2 linked regions of the Astyanax mexicanus genome follow. The protein of the gene in region 2 interacts with the protein of the main gene of each other region in a pairwise test. Links are inferred from orthologs where the notes say so. Each region holds a gene or a part of one and is shown on either strand. Other genes may lie near its edges. The genes, in order: cdc42ep2 and cass4.

What was found.
Region 1: the proteins of cass4 (region 2) and cdc42ep2 interact in binary tests that used the Homo sapiens proteins (3 or more experiments, as listed by UniProt). The link is inferred for Astyanax mexicanus from reciprocal best matches to the Homo sapiens genes CASS4 and CDC42EP2.

Annotation. Positions count from the first base shown.
Region 1 is NC_064408.1:32,550,017-32,566,490, reverse strand, and holds the start of cdc42ep2 (cdc42 effector protein 2), read right to left. Parts: upstream 8,047-16,474; 5' UTR 7,733-8,046; intron 1-7,732. UniProt on the Homo sapiens protein: Probably involved in the organization of the actin cytoskeleton. May act downstream of CDC42 to induce actin filament assembly leading to cell shape changes. Induces pseudopodia formation in fibroblasts in a CDC42-dependent manner.
Region 2 is NC_064431.1:32,794,938-32,810,422, reverse strand, and holds the start of cass4 (cas scaffolding protein family member 4), read right to left. Parts: upstream 7,454-15,485; 5' UTR 7,226-7,453; coding exon 7,220-7,225; intron 1-7,219. Other genes in the region: cstf1 (cleavage stimulation factor subunit 1), read right to left, coding at 13,883-14,142, 15,060-15,450. UniProt on the Homo sapiens protein: Docking protein that plays a role in tyrosine kinase-based signaling related to cell adhesion and cell spreading. Regulates PTK2/FAK1 activity, focal adhesion integrity, and cell spreading.

The sequences.
Region 1 (16,474 bases), on a different chromosome or scaffold from region 2:
AGAAAAAAAAAGAGAGAAACGTTAACATACAGACTCTAATGGCCAACAAACACACTCCAATGTAAAATATTCCTCACAGAGACGTTAGATTCTCTAAATAGCATCAACGCATCCACGTAAACTCCTCTTCCTCGAAATGTCTCTGTTTATTTATATCTCTAATCCGTTCATTTATTTACACCTCCGACCGAGGAGCCAAAACTCCAAAAAAAGTAAACAGGCAACGGAACAGAGACAAAGAGGAAGAATGGGCCTCGCTCAATGCTTATATAATGGAAGATCCTTTAGGGCAGATTTGATGAGCTGTTCCACGAACATGCTCCCTCGTGCATCAGCACAGTTGGAAAAAAGATAAAGATGAGTTTTAATAAGCAGGGAGCACAGAAAATAAATCACTTATCTGGAGCAGTGGAGGTTTTTTGATGATCACTGTTTGTTAATGTTGGCAGAGCAGCTCTGGAGAAGTCATGTCCTCATGGCTGATGAGATTAGTGGACTGAACTAAACCGGAACGAGTCTCTCTGGAGTGTAATGCTAGACCTAGCAATGACGTATATAATCAATGAATCTATCAACTACCACCTGATTAATTCACTCAATTGGACCATTATGCTGTTTTCTCTCGCTCTGTCGTTACCATCGTTCACAGTTCTGTCTGAGTTTTCTTTCTTTTGTGGTAAAAAGAAACAAAAGGAGCCATATGGTTCTCCAGACATCAGGTAGTGTATTGAAATGCAAAATGTGCATGTGTTGTTTTAATATGGTAATCTAAATGTGAATTTCCTGCTATTCAGAGAATTCAATAGAAAGTACCATATCACACCTGTACTTTTGTGTGGTTAAACAGGACTTTGGTTTGTTTTTTTTACCCTTGGTGTGATATATTTAGGAAGGTGTGAATACTCTGGAAAGGTGAGAATGTGATAATTATTACAACCATGAACAAATACCATCACTGTTGTTAAATTGTACAGATATATGAACTAGTTTAGAAAAGAGGACATTCCTTTTGTATTTACTTTCTTGCCCCAGGTGGTATAAGTCTGACTAATAATAAACAAAGAACATTTTGCTGCACCTAGATTTTCCCTGTGTGAAAACATACTAAACCAAAGAGAAAACACTATTAACTAATCTATTACCTAAACAGAGTAAAAAATGCATACAATAAACATCCTGTTCCATGGTATTTCAAGTAAACTCTCTAGACTCAAACTATCACTATCCTTTAGCTATCATTTTACCCCAAGGCTAAATGGAATGTAAACATATAAACATCATATGTTTTGATAATAGAATATTTTTCTGTTGGTAGGAAATGTTTATGCAATGTAGAACATGTTGTTTGGTGGTGTTTTCCAATGGTGTTAAAATCTTTACACCCTTTTCATTCTCAGTCCAAAACCTTTAGTTGCTATAATGGCAACAGAGTTGGGTAAAAGCCAGCAATAAATTTTTTCCATTACTGAAACTAATGAGACTAAGAGTTGCTGTCACACTGTATAAAAATATTTATTGATTAGTATAACTGGAAAAGATTGATGAGCATTTTTGAGAACGTTACTAATTGTACTGTATACTGTATTTTTAGCTGGGTGATATGACAATATTTATCATATTGGGAAAGGTTCCAATATTCTTTTCTGGCTTTTTCGTAAATGTCATTTATCAACTACATTTCATCACAAAAAATGTGTCAAACAAGTGCTGGGCAATATAGAAAAAGAAAAAGAAATATTCTGATATATTGTGCATCGAAAGAATGTCACAATAATCATCTTGATTATTGTATTAATGCCATGTTGTCTGCAGACATGAGGATGTTTGAGTGCATGTGCATGTGTGTGGTATGTTGAATGATTGATGTTATAATGGGTTGCGTGTGTTGCGTGTCAGGATGTGTCTATATATTGAACATGTGTGGACGCCTCTATGTGTGTGTGTGTGTGTGTGTGTGTGTGTGTGTATGTTGCAAGAGCACACTGTGGTGAAAGAGTATGACTTACATTCCTCTGGCCTTAAGTCATGCATCTCAGGTTACACCAACCATGACAGTGAATGGGAATGTGTGAGTGTGTGTGTGTGTGTGTGTGTTTGCTAACACATGTGTGTGCAAGGTTTTCTTCAATGCCAACAAGCATGACTGCTTCTAAATGCTACAGCCTTTCTTTCTCACCCACACACACACATACGCACACTCAAACACACACAGGCACAAACATGAACAGCTAAAACCAAAAGAATGTGTGTTTTTCTACTAGTACTAGACAATATGACTTTATTAAACTGTGATTTTTTTTATTGTATTAATATATTTTTATAAGCACAGTAAGAATATAACTAGTGCTTAAAGATTCTTAACAACAGCACAACTAGAGGAAATGCTACATATTTTGATAAAAAAATGATTGCGTACACTTACATTCACCTCATAATCAGATGATTGCAGAACATCAGAGTTTGTTAGCTATCTGATCAATGCATTTACGTGAACTTAAATATGTTGTAAAGCTTATTTCCAGTACCGCAGTACCGCAGTCACACAGTTCACACATGTACAGACTGAGAAATCCAAGAACATACAATACAATTTGTATTATCGGATTTCTAGATCTCACTAAGATAAAACAAATCACAGTATTTTATTAGTGTGATAATAATATGCAGATAACTGCAGATATCCTTTTAAAACTGGATTATAAAGTGCATGTAAATGCACGATAATTTGCCACATTTCTATGAGTAAGCTGGACAGTGTTCAACCTCACTCACAAAGTGACTCTCCAAAACTTATACAGTTACCTAAGGTAAAACTTTACCTAAGGTAACACTTCATGGTCAATCTACACACCGCTAACCCATTACTATCAGTGTATATGCCTTATATACCGGTAGGTATAATCTAGATATTTAAGATAAATTACCTGGTGTGGGATAGCATTTACAAATAGCAGTTTAAAAGTCATAATTTCTACTGGGAAACACTAACATTAGCCTTACGCAGGAAGAAGCACAACAATAGTTTTAGTGGGACTGCTGAGGTGAGGGCTTTGCTGCAGTCAAAATCCTGCAGATTAAACACACACATGTACACACACACACATACAGGATAGAGGAAAGTTCTGCTTCTGCAGTTTTTAAGGAGATGCACTGGTAGCAATATTGTCTCAGAGGTTAGGCTTGATGATGCTAGAGTTGTGGTGAATATAATGTTGTGCCTGTGTGTGTCTTTGTGTGTGTGAGGCAGATTACAATACGTTGTCCTAACTGTCTAATTGTGGTTTAACTGCCGCAGTACTGTATATGCGTGTGCTGACAGATGCCTTTCCCTGATGGTACAGAGCCACACTGACTACAGTTTGTGTGCATGCAATTTTGTGTGTGTTTGTGTGTATGTGTGAGTGTGAGACAATGATAGAATGACATTGTCTAGGGAGAGAGGGGCTGCAGTGTGCTGACTCACTGAACAGAGACAATAATGGACAACGGATAAACAGAGAGAAAAACAAGGGAAAGAAAGAAGTAATGGTAGAGAAACAACGCTGGCCTCGTTACAAATCACTGCAAATTCATGACTGTGCTTTTTGTCCTTTGTGTAAAAAGTTTTATTAACAAATTAACTTTCCGTTCCTTGTGCCACAAAGAGGTTCTGTATTGCTAAGCCTTTTTGTAACCATAGACAATGAAGTGGAATGTCTGTGTGTGTGTGTGTGTGTGTGTGTGTCAAGGTTAGAGTGCAGGCTAATCAGCAGTGTAGAACCTGTATATCCACTGATTTCATGCACAGCAGGGTGAGATATGATACTGATCAGTTTCAGCATGCTGTATGCATTTGTTTAAAGGCTATTTGTGTTGTTTTAGGGGGTTATTTTTTTCTTTCTAGACCACACACGTGTAAAATACCATTCACAAGATATCACATGTTACAGCGGTGTAAACACTTCAGTCCTTCCAAGACACATTTAACAACAAAATAAAACCTTGCTTAAAGCCATGCTTGAGCTTCGATAACTCGCGTCACCTTGCCTTGAGTAAGCTGGCCAGGGTTCAACCTCACTCACAAGATAACACCTCACAACTTATGAAGGTAACATTTTATGATCAATATATGTCAATGTATGTGGCTTGACCTTATACAGATATAATCTGGATGCTCAAAAGGCCAGAATTGGCCAGGTGTTAATTCAGCATCTTTAACATCAAAAGCTGCTTGGACCTCCTAATTGCTACAAAAAGAACTACTCACAGACTGGCTTGGTTTAAGGAAACCTTGCTATCTCTCTATCTTATCAAAACAAGACCGTGACACTGCTCCTAATCCTGGGATCGGGTGTTTGAATCAGTGATGTCATGTGTGGACCTGACATAAGGGCCTACACGTCATATCAGTTGAGAAAAGGCCATTCTGAAGAGCATACTCATACTCCTTATCACACGCTATCTGTGTTTAGAACAGCTGAATCATAATGATGCAATTCTCATAGCCTAAACAGGCAATAAATGATGCTAACATCAGATAGTCTAGTCTAGCCGAGACGACATGTTGCCTAGTAGTGCCACACTGAAAACAATGACACACTGAACTTAAATAAAACATATTAAATCTATACAATGCTGTCTTTCAGATTACTTTGCATGGTCAGTAATTGTTTAACATTTGAATTGAGTAAATCCAATGCTTCATTTCTGTCAGTGTGGAAAAATAAATCCTGTAGCAGTGCACAATGTGGAAAGGTTATTTAATCGAGGCTCCTGAGTTTTATCAGTGAGGAAAGGGCAGCAAACAAAAGTGCTGCCAAAGTGGACGAGCCAAACACTTAGTAAGCCAGTGCTACTTCTTAGATAATGTAGAGAACACACTATCACGCAGGCTTTGAAAAGGGAACAGAGAGTGTATATTAGCGTATAAGGAGGTGGATACATCATCCTATAAAAAACAATTTAATTTACGTCCGACTTTTAAAAAGGGTCTCCAATGGCTCTTTAGTTAAGATCATGACGATAACAATATAGAACTGAGACAAAATAAGTCAAAATATTTGCATATTTGCATATTACACACACACAGATGCCATTTGGCTGTGGATAAATGAATGTATGTTAATAAATAAACACATATTATGTATATGTTTAAAAGCACTTAGATCAATTTAGGCCACAACCATCCAAGTTGCTTTATTCCAATCAGATTTAAAAGTAAAGACTATGTTTATACACTGCCTGGCCAAAACAAAAGTGGCCACCTGGATTTAAGTAAGTAAATGATGTGGGGTTGATGCTGCAGTTGGTCAGGTCTAGGTTCAGCAACAGTATGTGCTGAAAGAATAAGGTCAGCTGACTACCTGAATATACTGAATATAGACCAGGTTATTCCATCAATGGATTTCTCTTTCCCTGATGACAAAGATTCATGGGGCTGGAATTGTGAAAGAGTGGTTCAGGGTCCAGTCACAGAGTCCAGATCTTAACCTCATTGAGAATCTTTGGGATGTGCTGGAGAAGGCTTTGTGCAGTGGTCAGACTCTATAATCATCAGTGTAAGATCTAAGTAAAAAATGAATGCAACACTAAAACTTGTGACATTGCAGAACCATGTGACGCAATTAAAGATAAAGGCAGCCCAACAAAATATTAGAGTGTTTGACCTTTTTTTTGGGCCAGACTGTACGTATGTTGTATCTTCATGAATTCAACTGCATAAACACAGCTTGTACAATAGCTTTAAAAGAAAGGTTCTTCTAAACCAAAATGTTTACCACACCTTAAGCCAAGGATTGGCTAGACACGTACAAGTCTACAAGTGTACTTAGCAAGTGGAACTAAATTGTACACTTGTGCAAGTGGTGGCAATCTGTCAAACTCTTCTGAGATGAGGTGACCAATCAGTACTGATGTTAGATAATTAGTTTTGCAGTTCTCCAACTCATCTCAAAAGTATTGGATGGAGCTCAAGAGATCACAGTTTCACTGCTTCACAGTGCAAAACTGGAGAGGCTTTATACCATGCTATCCAATGCTTGGTTTCAGCCATTAAAGCTTAGCTGAATGCAATCAAATTATCATAGCAAAGTTCCACTGTACAACCTTTCCAAAGGAGCAGAGGCTGTTCCTGCAGAAAAGGTGGGAAAAATCCCTGGTAATGTCCTAATGATTTCAGAGAACCATTACGTAAGCAGGGGTCTACACTGGCCTTTAAAGGCAGCTTGGGGAGAGGAAATGCACAACACAGTGGATATCTGTCATAATCCCTCTCCACATCTAATTTCCTGCACATTTATCATCAATCAAACACAACGAGCCTCCACCCAACTACAAGAAAACAACAGTGCAGTTTTTCCAAGGTAGTTAAAACGGAAATTACAAAAACATACTACATTTCACACTGAAGGACACAATTCACTTACAGAAAACTGTAGACTATAACTGTCAAACAGCAGTTTTAGTTAAATAGAGAAAAAAATTTTTTAAATAATAACCACCTTATTACAACTTTATTATTCGTATCTTCAAACTGCAACTTTAAGCTATACAGCTCTGGAAAAAATAAGAGAACAATTCAGTTTCTGAATCAGTTTCTATGATGTTGCTATTTATAGGTTTATGTTTGAGTAAAATTAACATTGTGAAAACAAGTTCAAATTCATTAAAGTTTTAAGAGTTCAGGAACCAATATTTGGTGGAATAACCATGATTGTTAATCACAGTTTTCATGCATCTTGGCATGTTCTCCTCCACCACTCTTACATACTGCTTTTGGTGCACTCCTGATGCATGAATTCAAGCAGTTTAGCTTGGTTCAATGGCTTGTGATCATCCATCTTCCTCTTGATTATATTCCAGAGGTTTTCAATTTGGGAAAATCAAAGAAGCTCATCATTTTTAAGTGGTCTCTTATTTTTTTCCAGAGCTGTATGTCCAGCACACTGGGAGTTAATGCTCTCTAAAGCAGGTGTTTGCTGCCAATGGGAGCTCAGTAAAAGCCTGTTCTCGAAACAAAAAGCTAACTAAAGCTGTTCTCTATTCAACGGTCAGCACACCCGCAAACAGACGCCAAACAGAGTTACCACGTGATTTTAATGCGGTTCAAATAATGGGTGAATGCGGTAAACCGCTTGGGTTAAAGTGTTCAATAGATATGCTATTCGATATTATGGGCTGTTATTGTTATAGGCTTTTATCCACACAGCTTTGCAACACAGTTAGTTACCGCTGGTCTACTTTCTGAGGTAAACAGAAGATTCTCTATTTTAATATTCCTCACAGTTTTTTTCCACAAACTGCGATTAACACGGACAGGCATTTAAAGCTTTTAAACCTTTTTTTATAGAGCTGGCTCAATATCTCTCAGACAAACAGAACTACTTGTCTGAATGTATTTAATTTAGTTTTACTTTGGCTAACTGTTTTTCTAAATACTCATTTTTAACACGCATTTTACCACAGAAAAAAATATGTTAATTTTTTTAACTGTTTAATGTGTTTTAACTACTTTTACATAGCTAACACAGTAAAATTCAGTATTTTCACTACATTTTTGAAGTATTGATAATACATTTAAAACCAATTTTTAATCAAATCAGCTATGCTAATTTTTCTTAAAAAAAAAAACGATTTGTCTATATTCTTTTAAACTAAGATGTGAAATTGGTCCCACAAACAGAAACCCACAGTTAAACCCACCAGTTAAATTGAAGCCAAATATAAGTGCTGTGTTTTTATTTTTTGAGCTTACCTTTAAGTTCAGTTTCTCACTCAGTTTAAATCCTTTTTATAGAGGTGTTCGTCCTCCCTGAAGAGAGAAATAAGTCCTTGTACTGAACAGGCAGGGAAAGCCTCCTGTCTCCAGGTGCTCTCCAGTCATGAACTGACTCAGTGCAGCGCGAGCTCGTGGTTACTCAGCCTGGCCCCGTGACTCCGCCCTCGGGGGGCGTGGTTGAGTAACCGCGGGTCTGCGAGGGGAGCCCGAGCATCTCCGACTCGTTTCATGGCTAAAAAAGCCAGAATACCCCCTGAACGACCCCCACCGTGTCTGCACCGTCAGTACTCTCTCTCCCGCTTCACGGAAATAACCTCTTCATCCGATACACTGAGCTCTGTTTGCTGATACTGTGAAACCAGAAACGCCCTCCAGAGCACTTTCTCTCTCTCTCTCTCACTCTCTCTCTCTCAACCTTCTCTCTCTCTCTCTGTCCCACTCTCAATCTCCACTCTTTCACTCTCTCTCTCCTCTCTTTCACCCTTTTCTCTCTCTCCTCTTCTTCTTCTCAATCACCCTTTTCTCTCTCATCCTTTTATCTCTCTCTCCTCTCTCTCTCTCACCCTTCTCTCCCTCTCACCCTTCTCTCTCTGTCTCTGACCCTTTTCTCTCTCACCCTTCTCTCTCTCCTCTCTCTCACACCCTTCTCTCTCTCTTACTCACCCTTTCCCTCTCACCCTTCTCTCCCTCTCTCACCCTTCTCTCTCTCTCTCTCTCTCTCTCTCCCCCTTCTCTCTCTGTGCCTCTCACCATTCTCTCTCTCTCTATCTCTCTCCCCCTTCCCTCTCTTTCCTCATTCACCCTTTTCTCTCTCTCGCCCTTCTCTCTCCTCCCTCTCACCCTTCTCTCTCTCCCCCTTCCCTCTCTCTTCCTCTCTCTCTATCTCTCACCCACTTCCCTCTTTCTTAATCTCTCTCTCTCTCTCATTCTCTCTCACAAGTAGTTCTAAATACATACAGTAAAGCCTATTATTAGAATGTAATGAATTTCACACATTTTTCAGTCATTCAGAGTAGTTTGGTGTGAAATCGATTATTATAGAGGTTTCTTACAGTGGTAGTGATAAGGTAAGATAATCCTGTAATAATCAAACAGCATTCACTTTTTTTTACATTATTACAGTTTTGTAACTTAGAGGACAGAACAGAAGTGTCAGAAAATGTACAAACGATATACAAAATAGATATATACAAAGGTACAAGAATATAGAATAAACCACTACTCAGTATGTATGGGTTAGGATACCATATAAACACCACACATTGAAACTAAGAGAAATCAAAATTTTTAAAAAGGGTTGAGTTTGCTAAAATGCCACACTTTTTGGCAAATGAGGTCTAAAAAATATATATTTTATATATTACCAATGATATTTGCATGGGTCTCAAACAATTATTTGTTTAGAAAATGTGAAAAAGTAAAATTGTTTTGGAAGTATGAAAACATTAGTAGGTTCCTTTCTGAATTGGCATTATTTTTATTTGAAAGAGCAGCTAAAACATTGATGGGAAACATTCTGCTTTGTTTGTAGGCTTACTTATTACTGCTTCTTCACTCTTGTTAGTGATGAGGGAAATATGCTATGTTGTCATCACTTACCAAACGATTTCTCTGATGTACTTCTATGACGCTCTTTCCCGCCCACCTTAGCAACCTCTATAGTTGCATGTAAAAATGTGTTGTTGCAACAATGAAACAGCACTTATTCTGATTGGCTGTAAAATGTTAAATAGTTATGAAGTTATTTTGGCCCAGTTTATCTCTTGAGTTGACAGAATAGCATATATTCTAAAACATGTTCATTGCTATGTACAATATACAATATGATCTTCATGGCTACATTCAGTATCACTAACAATTTGTGTTATTATGTGGCTTAACAGTGTTATTATGTGGCTTATTTACTGTTACAATCACAGCTCAAAGTGTCTAGAATTTGTTTTCCATCAATACTTGCTCTGATTGTTCTGAATAAATGACATGAGCATGTTTTAGATGTTTTGGATAAATGCCATAAATGTAAAGGTAAATGTCAATCTAAAACCAGCAGGATTAGCAGGATCAGCAGGAACCGCAAAACTAAGCATGATTACAAACAAATGCTTCATTCAATGCCGGTAAAGATCTGCTTAACCATCTTACTTACCAGCATAGAGTATGTTTTGCCTAGATTACCAGTTTTTTAACCTCCTTGAAGTGAATTTTTTTTACAGCAGGGTTCTGAACCTTTAGGTTGACCCCAGCATAATACTGCAAAGCCTTGGTCTGTAATCACATAAGCAGCCAGCATAGGCACATTGTATCTCACCCAGCATGTGCATCAACATAACAGCTTACTTCATTTTAAACCAAAAGTGTGCATTAGACCATGTCATTAAAAAAAGTTAATCTCAAGCTAAATGTAAGTTATGGGCTCTTCAATGACCTAGTGTGTGGTCCACTATATAAAGAGTAAACAGCTTTTAGTGACTCTCTCAGACGCTCACACACTCAAACATGCTCTTTCGGAAAACAGAGTCTCGGAACAGTTTTCCCTCTGATTTCCGCCGGACAGGATTTCAGAGAAATGGGACAAACAAAGATTTAGATAAGCCAGTGTTTACAGGCTCTCATGCTGGAGTGCCTTTCAGGTGTGCTGAGAACAAAGACAAGAGGAAGCTAAGCGCTACACTAACTGCCCATTAGCCAATTACTGTTTTGTTGACTGCCATTGAAACATTTAGTAAGTGAGTACATGTAACTGGGTAACCAGATGCTGCTCATATCTGACAGTGGGAGGCTAATTTGAACAATCTGGAAAGATTTTCTGCTCCAGCACACTTCATTTAACACATTAGCCCATTACAGAGTTTTTCCTAAGTCAAATTGGGTGTGTTTGAATAGGAAAACATAACAGTGTGTAGTGCAGGGGGGCTCCACTCAGAGACTGTTGGTGGCTGACATGCTAACTGCGCTGGAAGGCTAAAGCTCTGTGGAGTTTATCATTTTCCTTCGTCTAACATAATGAACACTGTTTTTCTATTTTTAAAAACAGGAGGTTTAGACCTCTGATTTACGTGAAGGTGCTATTTTTGATCACTGAATTTCTCTCCAATGTGGAAATTTTAAAAATATATATGTTTTCAGCATTTTCGTGTGGCGGGTAAAACTTCATAAAAATAGTGACAACACATACATGATGCTTTTTAAATCACACTATATGTATAGTAAACTACACATTTTCATGGGTTTTCATAGATTAAATACTTTTGTAAATACTTTAATTTTACAGACATATAATGCGAGGTAATGTGTAATTTAGAATGAAATCTCTGTTTTTTATTTATTCTTTGGGATGTGTTGATGTCTCTAGCATGCTAAGTCACATAATCATCTGTGTATGGACATAATTTATTAAAACATGCAATTATCTGAATGTGTGAATGCATGGGGTGCAGGGCTGGTTAGGTAATTAGCAGATGTTGGACTTGATGAATGCTTTATCTGAATGCTAAACTCTGCACTGCTGTGGGCCTCTATAGCTGGAATTTCACACTCCTAAATTAGCCTGTGGAGAAAGCAAACTGAAACTAACACTCATATAGGCTGTGTCTGAATGACTGAATTAATGAAACATCTTTCCTATCTATTTAAATGGACTTGGTTGCCATTTGGATTCACATGTTAGTCATCACAAACAGTATTGTGGTGATGTGGCCATGAGTTACAGCAAAAAAAAAAAGGATCACAACATCAAAATAAATGCACTCAGGTGTATAGAAGGTTCCTGATTACTGTATTTATTTTCATGTAGTTATAGTATATATATATTGTTTGTATATTTAAAAAACCCATAACATTATCTTATATTTCTTCTCTTATCTTATTTTATCTTATCCTATGTGTTAGCAGTCAGTAGGTTACTAGTATAATAGATGCAAGAATGCAAAAATCTGTAGTACTGCTTTTTGTCATTAATTTAATACTGTATTTTTTAGAAGTGCATATTATTACACAACAGTGCTTAATTTTAGTTAGTGGAGAACAAGTATGTTAGTAGATTCCTGAGCTGCTCAGCCTAGACCTGTTTAAGGCAACTTTTTAATTTGACTTTACATATACACAATTTGCAACCATGAACATTTATGCTGCTGGTGTGGGTGTCCTCATCATCAGTGAGGAACACAAAATCAGTTTACATACTAATAGCAGACATTTGTGAAAACTTTTAAAATGCTAATTCTTGTGATTGCAATCACTGCTAAATATACAGTATACCCCACAGTACAACACTGTGGCGATGTTCTAACAGAGTAGCTGCATCCCAAAGCCTGCAGCAAAGGTGGGCTGCTGACCTGAGTGAAGGTTATTACAATATGATACAGGCTATAACGCCTTTATATACAGGCTAGAAATGCAGCCTATATTCTATAAGTGAGAACTTTCTGAACATACTGATGTATCCATCCAGGGAATATGTATTTGGTGTATTTTGGTGATTTGGTGTATTTTTCATGGCCACAAGTCTCCAAAGAAGAGTTCATTTAAAAATTGTAGTTTTTTATAATGCGTAAAGAAATTAACAAGTAAAAGGCGCAATGCAGTAAGCTTCAATCACTCCCACAAATGCACTGATAAGTTTTGTGTAGCAGTTGCAAGATGCAGGAGCTTTCTGATGACATCACTACGCAGCCTTATTAAACTTTTATTTTGTGGGGGCCGAGTGGTCCAGCAGTCTAAAGCACTGCCACTATGAGCGGGAGGTCGCAAGTTCGAACCCCCATCAAGCTGCTGGCTCTCAGATGGAGCACAATTGCTTTTTCCGGGTGGATAGATGGCACTCTCTCCCCACATCACTCCTAGGGTGATGTCCACAGCACAGGGCATCTGTGAGCTGATGTGTTAGTCTACACCCTCCTGGTAGTCCTAATGAGTGGGTTGGATAATTGGCTGTGTAAATTGGGGAGAAAATGGGAACAAATTAGAAATAAAATTCTCTCTCTCTCTCTCTCTCTCTATATATATATATATATATATATATATATATATATATATATATATATAAAAAGGACAATCCCATTGAAGACCCGCCCCACTGAGGCTGCAGCCTAGGCTTTGGAGCACAGCCACTGCTAGAAATATAGGAATCTGGCACAACAACAGTAATACTAATAACTCCAAGCGTGGAATTGTGGGTCTATAAGTATGGTTATAGACCGACCTAACACTGTGGTATTAATCCGGATGTTGATGACCTACTACGCACTTAATTGCCTTGTACTATGTAGAATCTAATCTAATGAGATTTCTTATGTAGATCTAAACCTTTTGCTGAAACAATACTAAGCTATTTCCTTTCACAGATACATGCGGAGAGGCTCACGTACAGCCTATATATTTGCACTTAAATCCCATATCTTAAAATAATAGATATTTATCTCAATAACAGAGCAATAAAAGTTCCATTTGTCTACCCTGCAGCTCTGCACCCCAGTGCAGGATTTATCCTCTCCATTCCACAGTGCTGCTTCCTGAAAGCTCCAGTGAAAGGCGTTCACCGGCAAATACACGCTGACTCATAGTCATACCTAAACTATTACACACACATGGAGGCTTCTACAGTAAACCATTAACAGCAGTCAGTGCTGATATAATTCAGTATTCTACTCAATTCATTTGCGGCATTAGTGATTCATTTAAGATGTTACTATTAAAACTTCCCAGACTCCCCTTCCCTATAAACTCTGAAATTAAGAACCTATTTTGCAAAAATACATTGTGTCTTCTCCCTATTATTTTACAATAAGAAATTTTAAGATCTGTCCAGTGATGTCTACACTTTTGCATATGATTGTATACAGTATAACCAGCAAACAAATCCTATATAAATCCTATATAACATCAACATACACGCACAGAATTGACCACACTACTATTAGGACTGACCTCAAACCAGTAAATATCTTCCCCCTAACTGGAGAATCCCCACAGTGTGGCGTCTGCTGCTATTTGTTTTAGAATGTTTTCAGCTGACCAGTCACTGGCATTTGACTGGTCAGGCATTTTCTGTGGCTAGTTGCCAAATTCAAGGAGCTTTCGTTTGCGGGCTGAAGCTTCTGTTACTTCTGGAAGGCCATATACAGCCTCATATTGAAGAATTATGTCTTTCTCTCAATAAGGACATTATACAATATTCACAATTCTCACTTTTTTGTGTGTTCCAATGTGCATTGGCCATTTTGCCAGAAATAAGATTCTATAAGAACTATTTATTTGTACTTTGTAGGGTTCTAGTTAGTGTAGCACAACTGTTGCTGCAATAGTGAACCACAACTGATCCAGATATTGTTTGGTTGGTGACATAAACATGCCAGCAGATAGGTGCACATACTGCAATGGCAAACTCAGTACTATTTTTATAAATTTGTTTATGTAATATTCTTTTTTCATTTTAGTTTGTGTGAAATTTTGCAGATTTACCCTGCAGTGATGCTCCATTCTCCTAATCAAAATTGTTAAGACAAGAGGTCACCATAAAAGGTTAGGATTTCTGCAGGCGAACCACATACAGCTCTGGAAAAAATGAAGAGACCACTTCAGTTTCTGAATCAGTTTCTCTGATTTTGCTATTTATATGTTTGAGTGAAATGAACATTTTTTTTTTTTTTTTTTTTTTTTACAAACTATTGTCAACATTTCTCCAAAATTTCAAATAAAAACATTGTCATTTAGAGCATTTATTTGCAGAAAATGAGAAATGGCTGAAATGACAAAATACGCAGAGCTTTCAGACCTCAAATAATGCAAAGAAAACAAGTTCATATTCGTAAAGATTTAAGGGATCTAAAATCAATATTTGGTGGAATAACCCTGTTTTTTAATCACAGTTTTCATGCATCTTGGCATGTTTTCCTCCACCAGTCTTACACACTGCTTTTGGATAACCTTATGTCACTCCTAGTGCAAAAGCAGTTCAGCTTGTTTTGATGGCTTGTGATCACCCATCATCTTTTTTTCCAGAGATATACATGGTTTCATTGTGTGCACTTTTTAGTAAGGAAAAATAGGTTGCATAACAGTAGAAAAACAGGCTCCCTATCCTCAAGATAAAAGTTTTTTTACAAATTATTTACATAGTTAACTTTTACAGTGCGGCAGGGATTTTGGACCAAGGTCAATTTAAGGGCATGAATGACAAAAATGTACCTGTATGACCCACATTATAAGCTTTTCATAATTATTTCAGCTATGTACAAAATTATTTTAGACTCTGTTTACAGACTCATGCATCTTAGTTTTCAGGATCATTTTTGGATTAGGCCAATCCACATAAAAATGCAAGTGTAAACGCACCTAAAACACATTTAAAACAGATACAAATCAAAAGGAGATTAATTTGAGTCACATGTTATAACAGTGTAAACACTTACATCTCTCTAAGACAACAACGGCATTTGACAATGAAAAAACACCAGCAATAATTGTTGTGAATTTTCATCAACTCACAGCAGAGTGAATGAAGATGCATTTTACAAAACAATGTACATGTATGTTGTTAAAGTCTTACTGAGATACAATCCAGATACTGCAAGTTCTCTAAATGTTCAAAAACCAGTTAAATCTATTAAAGCAGTCAATTAGTTAAAGTTTTGTACTGCAGCTCTAAGGCAAATGCAGCTAACAAGCTACGTAAGCTACTGTGTAGCCACCACCATACTGTTAGCACTGTTCGAATCTTTTTCACCACACAGCTGTTTAAAGTGATCCTAAAAAGATTATTGCTTATTTGTTTGTGCCCATGTATGACACACTGGTTTCTTTAAACATAGCCTACAATATTGCTAGTTAGCTGTGCAGCATGTTTAGCTCACACAATGTAGTCAACAGTGTCAGAAACCACATAGGGAAGTATCTGAAATTTGGTGATGTACAGTGTGACATAGCTTGAGACAAGTGTGTGACCATTTATTAGACATCAAGTGTTTTTGTGGTTGTTGCTGTTGTTGGTGGTAATTTATTTGCTATTAGCCACATTAGCATTGTAGCTCGAGAAAAAAAATTGAAGCAAACTTTAGGCAACAAACTTCACTTGGCTATTAGAACATCTGTATCTTACTGTTATTTTGAATATTCTATTTTATTTCTGTATTTAAGCTCTATTTATTTGGCCCATCTTAGCATCTTTATTCATTGGATTTCAATATAAGTAATGAGGCTGAATTTGTTGTATATTGGAGCTGTAATGAGTGTGAAACCATTGGCTCTAATCACCCAGAGAACATTTGTTATCCTCATTGGTGATAACTGCTGATGTCGAATGACAAAGAACTCATGATAAGACCAGAGACGGGTTTGCCTTGTTCAAAGCGAAGGTGGGATTTTAATACCATTGTCTCTGGCCCTAGTGGCAATGAGCCAGATTTGCATTGAAGGCCATCGGTAGGGCATACAAGCAACACCTTCATAATCATAATGAAGCCTTTAGACAGACATCACATTCCAGATGTGCTCCAAGGACCCTCAGAGTATCACTTTACACGCACACGCACCAAACATTCAAAACGTCTGAAATGGCTTGTAATGAACTTATTTATCAGGAAAAGCACTAAAGGGGGTCGCCAGGACCAGGATTGAGAAACACTTGTCTTATGTAACTAAATTGGTGTCAACTCCTGTTCTCTAAATTCCTACTTAATTCTACATTGTGCTATGTGCAGTAGATATTAGGTATATATTGCC
Region 2 (15,485 bases):
CTAAATAACTAAAACAAATAAAGTACAAACACCCTGGTCTCTGAAAAACTGCACTAAATATTAAACAGACCCTTATTCAAAAAATAAAGTAACAACAAATAGATTAAAGTAACATTTACATTCATTTTTTTTTTTAATCAGAACACATGGGCACTTGCAGATTCCTTTTTCTGATCATATATATATATTTATGCACATATAGCTCAGCAGGCCACATTGATCCTGCTATAAATGTATTTTTTAATGTAACTGGCAGACAAATTCTGAACAAGAAACAGCAGCATGTTTACTGTGTGGAGGCTTAAGGCAGGATCTCTCTGGTGGAACAGTTTTATATTTAATATTCAGCTGCATGAATGGGGCTGGATGGTTGTGTTTTAAATAAGATCTCAGGTTAGTAGTATTGCCAGCTTTTGTTTCCACTGTTGTGAAACCTTGTAAACATACCAGCTGATTCGCGTTGATGGTTCTCCTCGCTCATTTGGCTTAAAGCCAAAATACTCCCAAAATACTCCCACACCAGAGCCGTGGAATACGGCTTTAAAACACAGCCCATCCCGGACTAAATTTCCTCAAACATTCTCTGTTTAGCTAATGGAGAAGCAGCATGACTTACTGTACTCTCTCTCTCTCTCTCTCTCTCTCTCTCTCTCAGACTCCGGCTGCTGATGGAGAAGCAGCATGACTTACTGTACTCTCTCTCTCTCTCTCTCTCTCTCTCTCTCTCTCAGACTCCGGCTGCTGATGGAAAAACAGCATGATCTACTGTACTCTCTCTCTCTCTCTCTCAGACTCCGGCTGCTGATGGAGAAGCAGCACTACCTACTGTACTCCCTCTCTCTCTCTTTCTCTCTCTCTCTCTCTCTGACTCCAGCTGCTGATGGAGAAGCAGCACTACCTACTGTCATGTTTCTAAGTCTACTATCTTCTCCAGAAGAGTGAAGGAAAGTCTTCTGAGAAGACTGAAGGCCGTTACTGATGTTCAGTAAGAAAATGTGGATGTTGGATGTTGGGTTGAGGTCATGCCCTATTAGTCATGTAGTTTTTCCGAATGACACGCACTCTGTCGCCTTCGTTCAGCTTCCGATGGAGGAAGATGATCCCGGGTGGGTGTAGGAGTTGAGTGAATGCCAGATGTTGAAGAGGAACTAAAAGAAGTTCTGCTTTTTACAGATTATTAAGCTACATCACTCATAATCTCTCATTTATTCATTTATTATTCGCTGAGTACATTCATATTACAGTAGATACTGTATTTCTGCTGTTATATCTGCTGAAAGCCCCAGTTTCTGGGCTAGATTACAGTGCTGGTGATTCTGTATCTACTGTAACTGTAGATTAATTACAGAGCAGTATGGGTACAACAGATTACAGTGCTGGTGATTTTGTATCTACTGTAACTGTAGATTAATTACAGAGCAGTATGGGTACAACAGATTACAGTGCTGGTGATTCTGTATCTACTGTAACTGTAGATTAATTACAGAGCAGTACGGGTACAACAGATTACAGTGCTGGTGATTCTGTATCTACTGTAACTGTAGATTAATTACAGAGCAGTATGGGTACAACAGATTACAGTGCTGGTGATTCTGTATCTACTGTAACTGTAGATTAATTACAGAGCATTATGGGTACAACAGATTACAGTGCTGGTGATTCTGTATCTACTGTAACTGTAGATCTTTTTTTTTTTTTAGCTGAAGTCACTTATCGCTTTAAAGTAATGTACTATATACTAACTATATATACATTTCTTTAGTTTCCTTAAGTCAGACTGTATTTCAGCCAACATTGCGTTATGCCTAACAACGAGTACTACAAAATAACGTATCTGTGGGCACTGCTCGCAATAAACCAGTTGAGCAACAGGCCTTGAAATACAGCCTCACAACTTTTCTCACCAACTTCAGCTACTTCCCTCTGCTGTACAGAAGTTTCTATTAGAGATGGGTGACTCAAAGGGGGCTAGGATTGAAAAAAAAAGTACCGTACACACGATAAACCACATGTCGAGTGCTCGTAGAGGCCGTAGAGTAGGTGGGTGTTGGGGAATTAGGTCATTCGCACATTCAGAGGGCCTTAAAACCCACATTTAAATTGAAACCTCTGTTGGGTTGAGTGTTTTTTTGGATGCTTTTTGAACTACAGTGCAGAGCGACCACTCAAAAAAAGAATTTAAATAAGAATTAAAGCATTAAAGGTGATGTTTAGTACTTTAAGACTAGGGCTGCAAATAATGATTACTCTGTTAGTCGACTAATCTGATGATTATTATTCTTGTCCTCTAGCTCTAAAAATGATAGAAACAGCTGAACATGAGATTTAAAAGGCATTCAAATGTCTGGATGTTGTTTAAACATGGAAAATACTGATATTTAGTGGTTAAATATGTATCTGTTGTGTTTGGGCACGTTAAGAGACACAAACTAAGTGTAAACTTTAAGTTAAGTGTTTAACGATTAGTCGACAATTAAATTTATAGTAGTCAAATTTAAATAATCGGCATTGTCGATTATATCGACTAATCGTTGCAGTCCTACTATAGATTATGTGTTGCTGCGATTTTTAAGTCCAATAAGTTCTCAGAGAAACCATTACTCAGAATTAAACAATTCACATAACATTGTTTGCTTATCTACTATTTAATTGTGCTGCGCCATTGAAATAGCAATCCACCAAAGTCAGAGCACACCTGGCTCTTAAGAGAATGAAGAGCAAATGACACTCTGATTGGTTTAATTCATGTTATGCCCAAAACACATCTATGATTGATTAATTAAGGGAACTAGCACATGTAATTTGTGCATTTCGAGACGCGCAAGGTGTACTTTTCCCGTCGTTATGACAGCAAAGATTGTGCACGGTTGAGTGCTCGCCTAAAGATTTCTAAAATACGGTCCTAAATCTTTTCAAAAGACAGATTTATGGTGAGAGATCTCTGTCGGCTACATTCTTGCCAGTGTCTGCGCGTCTTTGCTGTCATAACGACGGGAAAAGTACATCTTGCTCGGGCATGATTGAGGGCATTGCAGAAATAATCAGTAACTAATCGACTAATCGGAAAAATAATCGCCAGATTAGTCGACTACCAAAATAATCATTAGTTGCAGCCCTACTTCACATTCTTTGACCGCTATCCCACGATGCACCTGCTGAAGGCTTGTTTAAAGCCGTGACCCAGATCCAGTAAAGACGGGAAGCGATTAATTTGATCTGGTTCTGTAGTGTAAACACAGCCGATCTCTCGTCTCATTTATCTCTCGCCTCAGATCCAGCTGTTCATAGTGAAACGTCCCTCAGATTCCTCCCCGTTTCCTGCTGCTCTCAGCCCGTCCAGCTGTAGCCAGCATCCTGCAGGCTGGACACCGGGCTGAGAGAGACACAGGGATGGGGACGGGGACGGGGACATCTGCAGACGCTCACGTCCATCCAGGAACCTCCACAGACACAAATCATCTGCCCTGACTGAGTCACCCATCATCCAAAAACCAACAGAAACGTTCAGCAAAACTCTGCATTATAGATCTGTGCCTATTTAAAGCTGCTTTATACTTTCCTTTCTTTTATTTCTTTTAATTTTAATTTTAAATTTAAATTTAAATTTTAATTTTATTTTAAATTTAATTCAAATTTCATCCCATTTTCTTCTCGATTTGCAAAGCTAATTTTCCCACCCACTCATTAGTACTGTACTCTCCCATCACTCCCCCTATACTTCTCTCGGACTCCGGCTGCTGATGCACTGACTAATTAAAATGTAGTTAATTTAGTTTCTAGGCACCATCAGAAAGTATGTGATTAAATGTTTTAAATAAGTCTTTTTTTATTCTTATGTTTTCAATTTAATTCCTTAATTCATTATTATTAATTTTATCATTTCTTATCATTCTTATCATTTTACTCTACTTTTACTTTTTTATTATTTTCTGTTACTCATTTTATATTTTATAAATTATTTACTTTCTTCACCTGTGTGTCAATTTTGATTATGATCTTTTTAGAATATTCAATTTTATATCCTTTTTACATACGTATTTTATTTATCTATATTAAATGTTGATTGAGAAACAGCATGACCTACTGAACTGTACTCTCTCAGAGTCCGGCTGCTGATGGAGAAACAACATGTCCAATTGTACTCTCTCTAGCTGCTTTGTTTTGCAATACTTTATCAACATGTGGCATAAAATATGGACATTTTTATTGAAAGATACGCGCTCTAAAATCCCTATGACTCGCCTTCTAATTACATTTACTAAAATTACTGCTTTAATACTCTACATGGTAAGGCTATAATCAAATTAATAAGGTTCAATTCTGTGAAAATTACACCAATATATGCATAATTTGTGTCTGCTTGTTGAGAACCTCAGTACACAGCAGGATTAGTCAGCAGAGACTTCTTCTGAGGGAGGGATCTGTACCTACTGCCTGTAGCATGAACTAGCTTGTTTTTGTTTTCCCATTTAGCACAAGCTAAAACTAATGCCACTAAGTAACAGCTTATTTGCATAAAAGTGACAGAGCCCTTAAACAGCACACTCTGAAAGAGACTGAAACTGGTATAAAACAAAACATGTTTTGTATAGAAGACAGACCTACAGTATTCTAACTTGTGTATTCACACAGGTTAAAAATGTTTTTAAAGGGTCTGTTTTAAGACTCTACTTTTAAATCCTCTGCACTTCTGCATTTATTACTTTTGCAACCGATATCACAAAAAAAAAAACTACACAGAGGCCACTTCTGCTTCGAGGAGTCTTAGAATAGCTGTGGTGTTGAGTGTTGAGTTCAGCTGACGACAGTGTAGCAGCGCGGATTCAGGGAGATACGAGGTCTTTCAACACTTTACCCAGAAGCCCGTCTGTACGCTGGTTTACGTCTTTTCTACTCGACTTAATTCCAGGGATTCCTGGAGGAAAGCAACAAGTTAACGACACCAATAAAGTCCCCTTCTCTCTCTCTCTCTCTCTCTCTCTCTCTCTCTCTCTCTCTCTCTCTCTCAGTATCGTATTTCACAGCAGACACTGCAGCTCTAAGCAGGGCTTCAGGGTTGGGGGTGGGGGGGTTGAAAGGAGGTCATGGGGTGCATGAAAAAATAGGATGGTGAGCTGACACCAGCCTTTAGACTGATATCCCAGCAGCTGGAGGTCCACACGCAAAAAAAAAAGAAAAGAAAAAAAGAAAAAGAAAGAAAGTGACCCTCATAAAGAGTGCTGATCACTATTAACTCACTATTAGTTTGGACACGCCTTAAAATTCACTGTTGTATTTTAATTATTTAAAAATGTTCTTCATTGTAGATTAATAATACTAAACTTCTTCAAACTATGAACAAAAATATATAGAATTAAAAAACAAAAATGTGTTAACCCTCCTGTAATTTGATTAATCCTGGTTTATGTTTAATTACAGGTAATAATGCTTCAATTAGGATAATTCACTCGTTTTTCATAAAAAAAAAAATACTAATGTCCAAACTTTTCTTAATGTTTCACTACTTTTGAAACACCAACGTATATAAAATACAGTAGTTTTATTTAATATTAAAAAATAACATTGCAATTTTGTGTTTTAGTTTTAGTTTTAGTTTTTGCAAGGGGTGGTTGCAAAAATGTAAGATGAACCATTTTCATACTGAAAAAAAATCATTTTAACTATTTTTCCTAGATCTATACATTTTAAAACAGGTCAGTTTGACCCAGATCAAAACAGGAGGTAGAATCTCCTGGAGTTCAGGCTTTCAGTTAACAGCTGTGCTGAACTCATCAAGAGTTAATTACTTGAATTTCTTGTCTCTTAATAAAGTGTTTGAGAGCATCAGTTAAAGTAAAGTAGTGAAGAGGTAGAGTTACAGGTATACAGTGAATAGTGAATATTTGAGTAATGTTCGAATCCAGGTTAATATATAAAGTCAATTTTAAGAACTTTGAAAGCATCCTTAAGTGCAGTCACCGCAAAGACCATCAAAAACTTTATAATGAGGAAACTGGCACTCATCAGGACCGCTCCAGGAAAGAATAAAAAACTAAACTCTTCACAGAGTGTTTAACACTTTTAAGTTACTACATGATTCCTTACTAAAGTTTTTCAGCAGTGTTTGATACTGTTACTTTGGTAATTAATGTTAGTTTTAATGATGTTAACTCACGCTTAAACCCTGTAATCCACACACTTCTCTCACACTATACATTAATAACCGATACAGCAGTTTCAGAGGCCCTAAGATAGAGCCCAGAGGGACCCCACACTTCTGGTTAACCAAACACCAAGTTACTAAACTCTGCTGATGCTTCATGTGTTTGTTTGTTTTTTCTGTGTTTATCACTATTAGGGCTGTACGATATTGGAATATTGTTGTGCAATGTATGTATTGTGATATAAAAAAAAATCACAAAACAATAATGACTAAAAATAGTCACTAATCAATAATAATTTATACCAATCACTAGAGTAAAAGTTAATGCAATTGTGCTGATTTAACCATTATTCCAGCATCATCCAAAACAACAACTTTACAGGAGAGACATAAAATCTTAACTAAATAAATGGAATGTGAAAAAATGTATGCCACATAATGTAGAGCGTTTCTATTGGTCAATTTCTCGTAAACTTTTGAGACAATATATAAAGCAAATGCAAGTTAGCAATGTGCGTGTGTGTGTTGATAAAATACTTTATATTTTTATTTTATATTCGGTATGTAAATTATCTGCAGCAAATTATATTTGACTGTTTATATAGATAAAAATATATTAATAATTATACATTCCATTCATAAGCAAAAATCAAAAAGGTGCACACATCTGAAATCAAGCTGAATTAACAAAAATGAAATAACAAAAAAGATGCAGAGCTTCAAAACAAGTTCATATTCATAAAGTTTTAAGAGTTCAGAAATCAATATTTGGTGGAATAATCCTGTTTGGTTTTTAATCACAGTTTTAATTTTATGCATCTTGGCATCATGTTCTCCTCCACCAGTCTTACACACTGCTTTTGGATAACTTTATGCTGCTTTACTCCTGGTGCAAAAATTCAAGCAGTTCAGTTTGGTGGTTTGATGGTTTGTGATCATCCATCTTCCTCTTGATTATATTCCAGAGGTTTTCAATTTGGTAAAATCAAAGAAACTCATCATTTTTAGGTGTTCTCTTATTTTTCAGAGCTGTATGTAGATGATCTGATAGTATTGATAGTATTGATCAGTGCTTACCTCCATCTCCGTCTCCGATCACTGGTCTGCAGTTTAATCCAGTTAAATCTCCATTTAGAGCTGCAGTAGATCTCAGAGCTCTACAGCAGAAACCTTCTTCCTCTCTGATTCTACACCTCTGATCTCTCCTTCACTTTTATATCACTTTTAACACTATTAATCCAACAGTTCACACTCCTCCCTCTCTCTCTCTCTCTCAATCTCTCAATCTCTTCACACACTTTCTACAGCAGTGAGTGAATGAGGGAAGACTCTGCTGGTAGTTCAGTCTGCCTCGGACCCTCAGCCAATCACAGCGCCTGTCCACAGCTGTCCCCGCCCCTCTGTCTTCACCCGCCTCCTCTTTTTCTTCTGAGAAATGCAGCAGTGTTCAGTAGTGGGTGAGTGTGTGCTGCCCACTGATATCACTCTTTCCTTTAATTGTTTCCGGTGTGATGCTACTTCTATTCATTACAGTTAATGCTTTATTTTGCACACACACACACACACACACACACACACATTTAGACACACACACACACATATTTAGACACACACACACACACAGTTAGACACACAATTTTTGGGACAAAAGTAAAAGTAAATAAAAACTAGAGTGGTGTGCGAGTGTGGCTGCAGTGCTGATTTTTGGGGTGTGAAGTGGTTGCTAAGGTATTGCAAGTGTTGCTAGGTGGCTCCTATGGTGTTGCTGTGGTGTCAGTGGTAACTGCTATGGTGGCTGTCAAGGTGTTGCTAGGTGGTTGCTAAGGTGTCGATATGGTGTCTGTGATGGTTGCTTAGATGTTGCTAGGTGGCTGCTGTGTTGTTGCTGTAGTGTATAAGGGGGCTGCTGTGGTGTTAAGGTGCTGCTAGGTGTTCCTGCACCTAGTGCGAGTGTGGCTGCAGTGCCGATTTATGGGGTGCCAGGTGGTTGCTGAGGTATTACGCTATGCTAGGTGGTTGCTAAGGTGTTGCTGTGGTATCAGTGTTGGTTCCTATGGTGTTGTTAAGGTGTTGCTAGATATTGCTAGGTGGCTTCTTTGTTGCTGCTGTAGTGTTTATAGGGGCTGCTGTGGGGTTAAGGTGCTGCTAGGTGTTCCTGCAGAAAATGCGAGTGTGGCTGCTATGGTGTTGTTAAGGTATGTTAGGTGGTTGCTAAGGTGTTGCAGTGGTGGCTGCTATGGCTTTGCTAGGTGGTTGCTAAGGTGTTGCTTGACAGTGGAGTGTAAATATGTTTCTCGTAGCTCTTCTGCTTTCTTTGTTGTTCCATATTATGTCTTTTTTCTATTCTCTCTCCCCTTTTTTGTAGTGAATATAGTGAATAGTATATAGTGAATAGTGTATAGTGAACGGTATATAGTGAACAGTATATAGTGAACGGTATATAGTGAACGGTGTATAGTGAACGGTGTATAGTGAATGGTGTATAGTGAAGAGTATATAGTGAATAGTATATAGTGAGTAGTATATAGTGAATAGTATATAGTGAATAGTATATAGTGAATAGTATATAGTGAATAGTATATAGAGAACAGTATATAGTGAACGGTATATAGAGAACGGTATATAGTGAACGGTATATAGTGAACAGTATATAGAGAACGGTATATAGAGAACGGTATATAGTGAACGGTATATAGAGAACAGTATATAGTGAACAGTATATAGTGAACGGTATATAGAGAACAGTATATAGAGAACGGTATATAGAGAACGGTATATAGTGAACGGTATATAGAGAACAGTATATAGAGAACAGTATATAGTGAACAGTATATAGTGAACGGTATATAGTGAACGGTATATAGAGAACGGTATATAGTGAACGGTATATAGAGAACAGTATATAGTGAACAGTATATAGTGAACGGTATATAGAGAACAGTATATAGAGAACGGTATATAGAGAACGGTATATAGTGAACGGTATATAGAGAACAGTATATAGAGAACGGTATATAGAGAACGGTATATAGTGAACGGTATATAGAGAACAGTATATAGAGAACAGTATATAGTGAACAGTATATAGTGAACGGTATATAGAGAACAGTATATAGTGAACGGTATATAGTGAACGGTATATAGAGAACAGTATATAGTGAACAGTATATAGTGAACAGTATATAGTGAACAGTATATAGTGAACAGTATGTAGTGAACGGTATATAGAGAACAGTATATAGTGAACGGTATATAGAGAACAGTGTATAGTGAACGGTATATAGAGAACAGTATATAGTGAACAGTATATAGTGAACGGTATATAGAGAACGGTATATAGTGAACAGTATATAGTGAACGGTATATAGAGAACAGTATATAGTGAACAGTATATAGTGAACGGTATATAGTGAACGGTATATAGAGAACGGTATATAGTGAACAGTGTATAGTGAACAGTATATAGTGAACAGGCACAGTTTCAGACTCGTCCATTGTGTGTTTGAGTCTATCCCCTCCAGCGTCTGAGCTGATTTATTGTTGACAGCTTATTTTAAAGACCTGGATTCTTCTGAGTTTCTGCTTTGTTGTCTAGACGACACAAAGAGCGGTGGACGGGGACGGGGGGACGGGGGATGGGGTTTATGGTTTGGGGGAAGTTTTGGAGGACAGACTGGAGCAGATCCTGCAGTCGTGGTCTGGTATTCACCAACGAAACCCAGCCAGAAAGAGTTCCCATCAATCTATCAGTGATGCTCCACATCTGCTGCAATCACTCCACAAAGAATTTCACTAAAATACTCTTTAAATTTAATTTATATAAAGAGAAACATAATCAAAGGTGTGAAAAGTATCTAAATTCATTACTCTGTAGGGTGAATAGAGTATAGATACTAGAATTTAATAAAATACTTCTGTAGAATTAAAAAAAGTATCAACTCAAGCTTTTTACTTTTTGAGTAAAAGTTTAAATAAAACTACTTCTACTTCTAAAAACAAACAGCCATGCTACTCCTAGTTCCTAATTCAGATCGTTTTCATTCCGGCTTCTCATCGTTTAATAAACCCCCTATCCAGATAAATCTCTCCATCCAGATAGAGTGAATCTGATTGTGATTGGATGTAGAGAAGTATAAACACATACCATTCTGACTCCCTATTGGTTTATACTGTGATCCATCACACCCGTGGGTGTGGCCTAAGCTTTTAAAGGTTTTAGTCTTGATTACTTTATTTTTTCTCCTTACATTACTTTTACTTTTATACTTTAAGTATAAGGTTTAAATCCAGTACTTTTTAAAACACTTTTACTTAAAAGTAAAAGTTAAAAGCTTGAGTTGATACTTTTTTTAACGTACAAAAGTATTTTATTAAACTCTAGTATCTATACTCTATTCTACCTACAGAGTAATGAATTAATAAAATAATTTCACACATTTTGAATTAATTTGGATTAACATTATCAGTGGAAATCCACATTTCTGTCCTTGTTTTAATATAAGGAATTAAGTGACCAGTCTGGAGATTTTTTGGTTTACTGACGCTCAGACAGCTCTCTCCTGGAATAAAAACATTCACATCTGTTAAACGACACCAAAAGGAATTTCACTCAGGCTGCTGTTTTTTCAATTAAGGTCTGATATAAACTCTGCATATCAGATTCTAACATTTGTTTACTTCTAAAATGACAAAAAATAAGGAAATAAAATAAGAAAGCACTTAAAAATGATGAGTTTCTTTGATTTTATTAAATGTAAAACCTCTGGAATATAATCAAGAGGAAGATGGATGATCACAAACCATCAAACCACCAAACTGAACTGCTTGAATTTTTGCACCAGGAGTAAAGCAGCATAAAGTTATCCAAAAGCAGTGTGTAAGACTGGTGGAGGAGAACATGATGCCAAGATGCATGAAATTAAAACTGTGATTAAAAAACAACCAGGTTTATTCCACCAAATATTGATTATTTCTGAACTCTTAAAACTTTATGAATATGAACTTGTTTTCTTTGCATTATTTGAGGTCTGAAAGTTCTGCATCTTTTTTGTTATTTCAGTCATTTCTCATTTTCTGTAAATAAATGCTCTAAATGAGAATATTTTTATTTGTAATTTGGGAGAAATGTTGTCTGTAGTTTATAGAATAAAACAACAATGTTCATTTTACTCAAACATAAACCTATAAATAGCAAAACCAAAACTTGGACTTTCTAAAACTGATATAAAACAGTGGAATTGCATATAAAGAAAGGGAATCATAGAAATACAACATTATCACAATACATTTCCCACAATAACGACAATATCCCATCATCACTATGCTCGATTTATCGAAATACAGTTCTCTACGATACTTCACAGCATCTACATTATTGAGGAGGGTAAAACACTCCTAAATAATCAAATACCAGCAACTATGGATTTATTAGTATTTATTTATTTAGTAAAGAAGCAGCAACTTAAGTTTTAGTCTAATTGGTTGGAGCTTTAGAGAGTTTATAACGCTAATGTTTTAATAAAAGCATCCATAATTGAAGCCACGTATCACAATGTGATATCACAATATCGATATATTGTCACACCCCTACACATGTCCTAATTTACTAATATACTGATGCATTCAGCTACTTCTAAGGTATTTATTTTATAGAAAGATTATTTCCACTCAGGCCAGCAGCCGGAGTTCACCACCAGCTACAAGCTAATGACTGGAACAGGAAACCAAGATAAATAACCACCAGCACATATTTAACGAGAATTGTTCTGCCGAAATTCAAACCACCCAGTTTTTAGGTCATCCGTTCTAGGTCATCTATTCTCCTTCAGTTTTCTAATACTGTATAGGCTATATATATATATATATATATATATATATATATACAGCTCTGAAAAAAATGGAGATCACTTGAGTTTCTGAATCAGTTTCTCTGATTTTGCTATTTATAGGTTTATGTTTGAGTAAAATGAACATTGTTGTTTTATTCTATAAACTACAGACAACATTTCTCCTAAATTCCAAATAAAAATATTCTCATTTAGAGCATTTATTTACAGAAAATGAGAAATGACTGAAATAACAAAAAAAAAGATGCAGAGCTTTCAGACCTCAAATAATGCAAAGAAAACAAGTTCATATTCATAAAGTTTTAAGAGTTCAGAAATAATCAATATTTGGTGGAATAATCCTGGTTGGTTTTTAATCACAGTTTTTGTTTTCATGCATCTTGGCATCATGTTCTCCTCCACCAGTCTTACACACTGCTTTTGGATAACTTTATGCTGCTTTACTCCTGGTGCAGAAATTAAAGCAGTTCAGTTTTGATTATATTCCAGAGTTTTTTTTAAGTGCTTTTTTACAGAGCTGTATTTATATTCTGTTTAAAAACCATCTACCAGCACAATCGTTCTGAAAAAAAAAAAAAAAAAAAAAACACACAGCTAAATGGTAAATGTTAGAGATGTGATGGTATGATGGGATTAGTTTCTCAGGGGGTTCTGGGGTAATTTTTATCCTCTGTGATTTTATTCCTGTCCAGAACGATCATGTGCGTGTTTTTCTCAGACGTCCTCTGATAAATAAATTACAGGCTGAATTATCTACTGTTTTTCTCTGAACTCCGTGCTCCTCCGGTAATTTTAGTCCCGTCCGGACGCACATCTCTACAGACTGTATTACCTACCTCAGGGTGGCGCTATGCAGAACTAGATGTCCCAAACTGTAACTTGCACAACTGTGTTCAAATTAAATTAATTTAAATTATTTTTTTGTTTGTTTTCTTTGTTGTTTTGTACTGAACCAGTGGATACAGAAAAGCTTGGACCCCAAAATGTCTTGAAAATGAAGCCGTCGTTTTGGGTAAGTCTAATGTCTATGTAAAATTGTCAATATTATCTTAACTGGTAGCCATGTATTTAGACGTGCTGGACTCTTCAGTATTTGTACTAAACATTTACCAGTACTTTTGCTAAATTGCATTTAAGACATTTATTTTCGTTTGTTATTCATTATCTTGTATCATAGTAGCTTTAGTTACTCTGTACTGTAATTTAATTAAAATATAAAATATTTTATTTATAAAACATTATTTACCCAATTACAACAGACACATTCAATGTACCTGTTTAAATTCTGTATCCAGTGTAAAATAAGCTCTTCTTCTAGTCCTTCAGGCTGAGCTGTAAACTCAGATTGATTGTACACACTATTATTATTTAAATAAATGAGTTTTTTTGTTTGTTTTTTTAAATCGTAAAACACAAAACAACCCAATTTTCTTTTAATCTTTTATTTAAAAAAAAAAGGCTCAAAGTGTTCCAACATGAACTGAAAAAGAAAAGGATCTTTTTTTCCAGCTGATCAAATTATACAACACCAGTACTAAACTTAGTACTGAATTCATCAGTCTTTTCCCTATCGTCTGTAAAAAATAAAAAAAAACACGTAATACCATGTAATAAAGGATTCAATTAATGGTTATTAATTAGTTTTAAACACTTTAAAAATCATTAATACAGTTACAACACAAACACAGAAAGGGCAACAGTGATTTCCCTTTCTATTAATGTGTTTTAAAGTATTTATAACCTAGTTAATAACTATTGAAACAGTTCATAAACAGTTTACTGGTATGTAAAAGTCTTCATAGTGAAATGGAGCCCTCTAGTGGTGAAGGCCGGTCATCACAGATCCCAGGTTCGGTAGGTTGTTCACATCTCATTTCATCTCTCTCTCTCAGGTTCAGTCGGTGGTGGTTCGTCGGTACCAGAATCTGGCTCTGAAGTCGTCGCTGCAGGTCATGAAGCCGGGGTTGGTGGGTGAGTGGACGATGCAGCGGACGATGTTGTTGTGTCCGAGGCTCAGCAGGTTCTTGCGCTCGGCCGTGCGAGAGTCCCAGCAGCACAGGCTGACGGTGCGCTCGTCCGGCAGCAGGATATAATCCTCCGTGTGATTAAACACGCCCTGAGTACGGTGCGTCTGACGCCCACTCAGACCCGCGCCTGCAGTACAACACACACCAGGACAGAGGTAAATACAGAGACTATCATAGTAATTAAACAAGCTTAAACTAATGACCAGAGAGAAAGTGAGTACAGGTGAGCGGGTGCAGGAGAGCAGGTATGTTTTTATTTATTGAGTGTCTGTCCAGTGGGGTTTTTCCCACATTTTGGCAAACAGGTGAGAAAAAGGGCGGGTAAATAAAAGCCAGTAAGTGGACAAGAGCGCGAGAGAGAAAGCAGGTGAGTGTTTAGAGAGCAGGAGACAGAAAGAGGGAGTGTGTGTGTGTGTGTGAGTTAAAGAGCTAGAGAGCTAGAGCAGAAAAGAGAATGAGGGAGACTGTGCGAGTTAAAGAGAGAAAGTTAGAGAACAGGTGAGAGGGTAAAGGTGAGAGACAGAGTTAGAGAGTGTGTAAGAGAGCGAAAGTGTCCGAGTTAGAAGGAGGAAAAGTGTTGGAGTGCGTGTGAGACAGGGAGAGAGTGTGTGTAAGAGAAAGCAGAAAGAGAGAGAGCAAGAACGAGGGAGAGTGTGAGAGTTAGAGAGCAGAAGAGAGCAAGAACGAGGGAGAGTGTGAGAGAGCAGGTGAGAGAGAATTAGTGAGCAGGTGTGAGATCAGCATGCACATTTTTTTATTATATTTTTTGCATTTTATATTATTATACTTCTGTATTTTTAATCATTTGCATATTTTTTCTACTCTTTTATACATGTATGAAGATGCTCTGTTCCTGATGTTGCTCAGGCTGGATCTCTACTGCTGTACATACAGACGTTTAAACTGAGAATATTGTACTGAGTTTAAATGGGAGATTTAATAAAGGAAATAAATTAACTAAATAAAGTGTAGCTGTGTGTGTGTGTGAGAACCTTTCGGTGTACGTAAGTTTAATATATGTATGTATATAATAAAGGTTCTGACCTGTGTATTTGACGAGCGTGCGTCCGGTGGAGATCTCCCACAGCTTGGCTACGGAGTCCTTCCCGCTGGACAGGATGTATTTGGAGTTTTTGGAGAAGACGGCGGAGCAGACCTCGGCTCCGTCGTGAGCTTTCTCGAAGGTGGTGACGCAGCGGTTGGAGACGCCGTCCCACAGCTTGATGCTGCCGTCCTTGCTGCAGGTGACGTAGCTGTTGGCGGTGGGGTTGTAGTTGACGCCGCTGATGGTGTCTGTGTGCTGGTCCAGCGGGTTCCAGGATACGAAGCACTGGAAGGTGTTGACGTCGTACAGACGCAGCGTCGGGTGCTGAGTCCCCACCAGCAGGAAGTCTCCAGACGGGTGGAAGGAGATGGAGCGCAGCATCTCCGCTTCCTGTGGAGGAAAAAAAAAAAAAAAAAACATCCCAT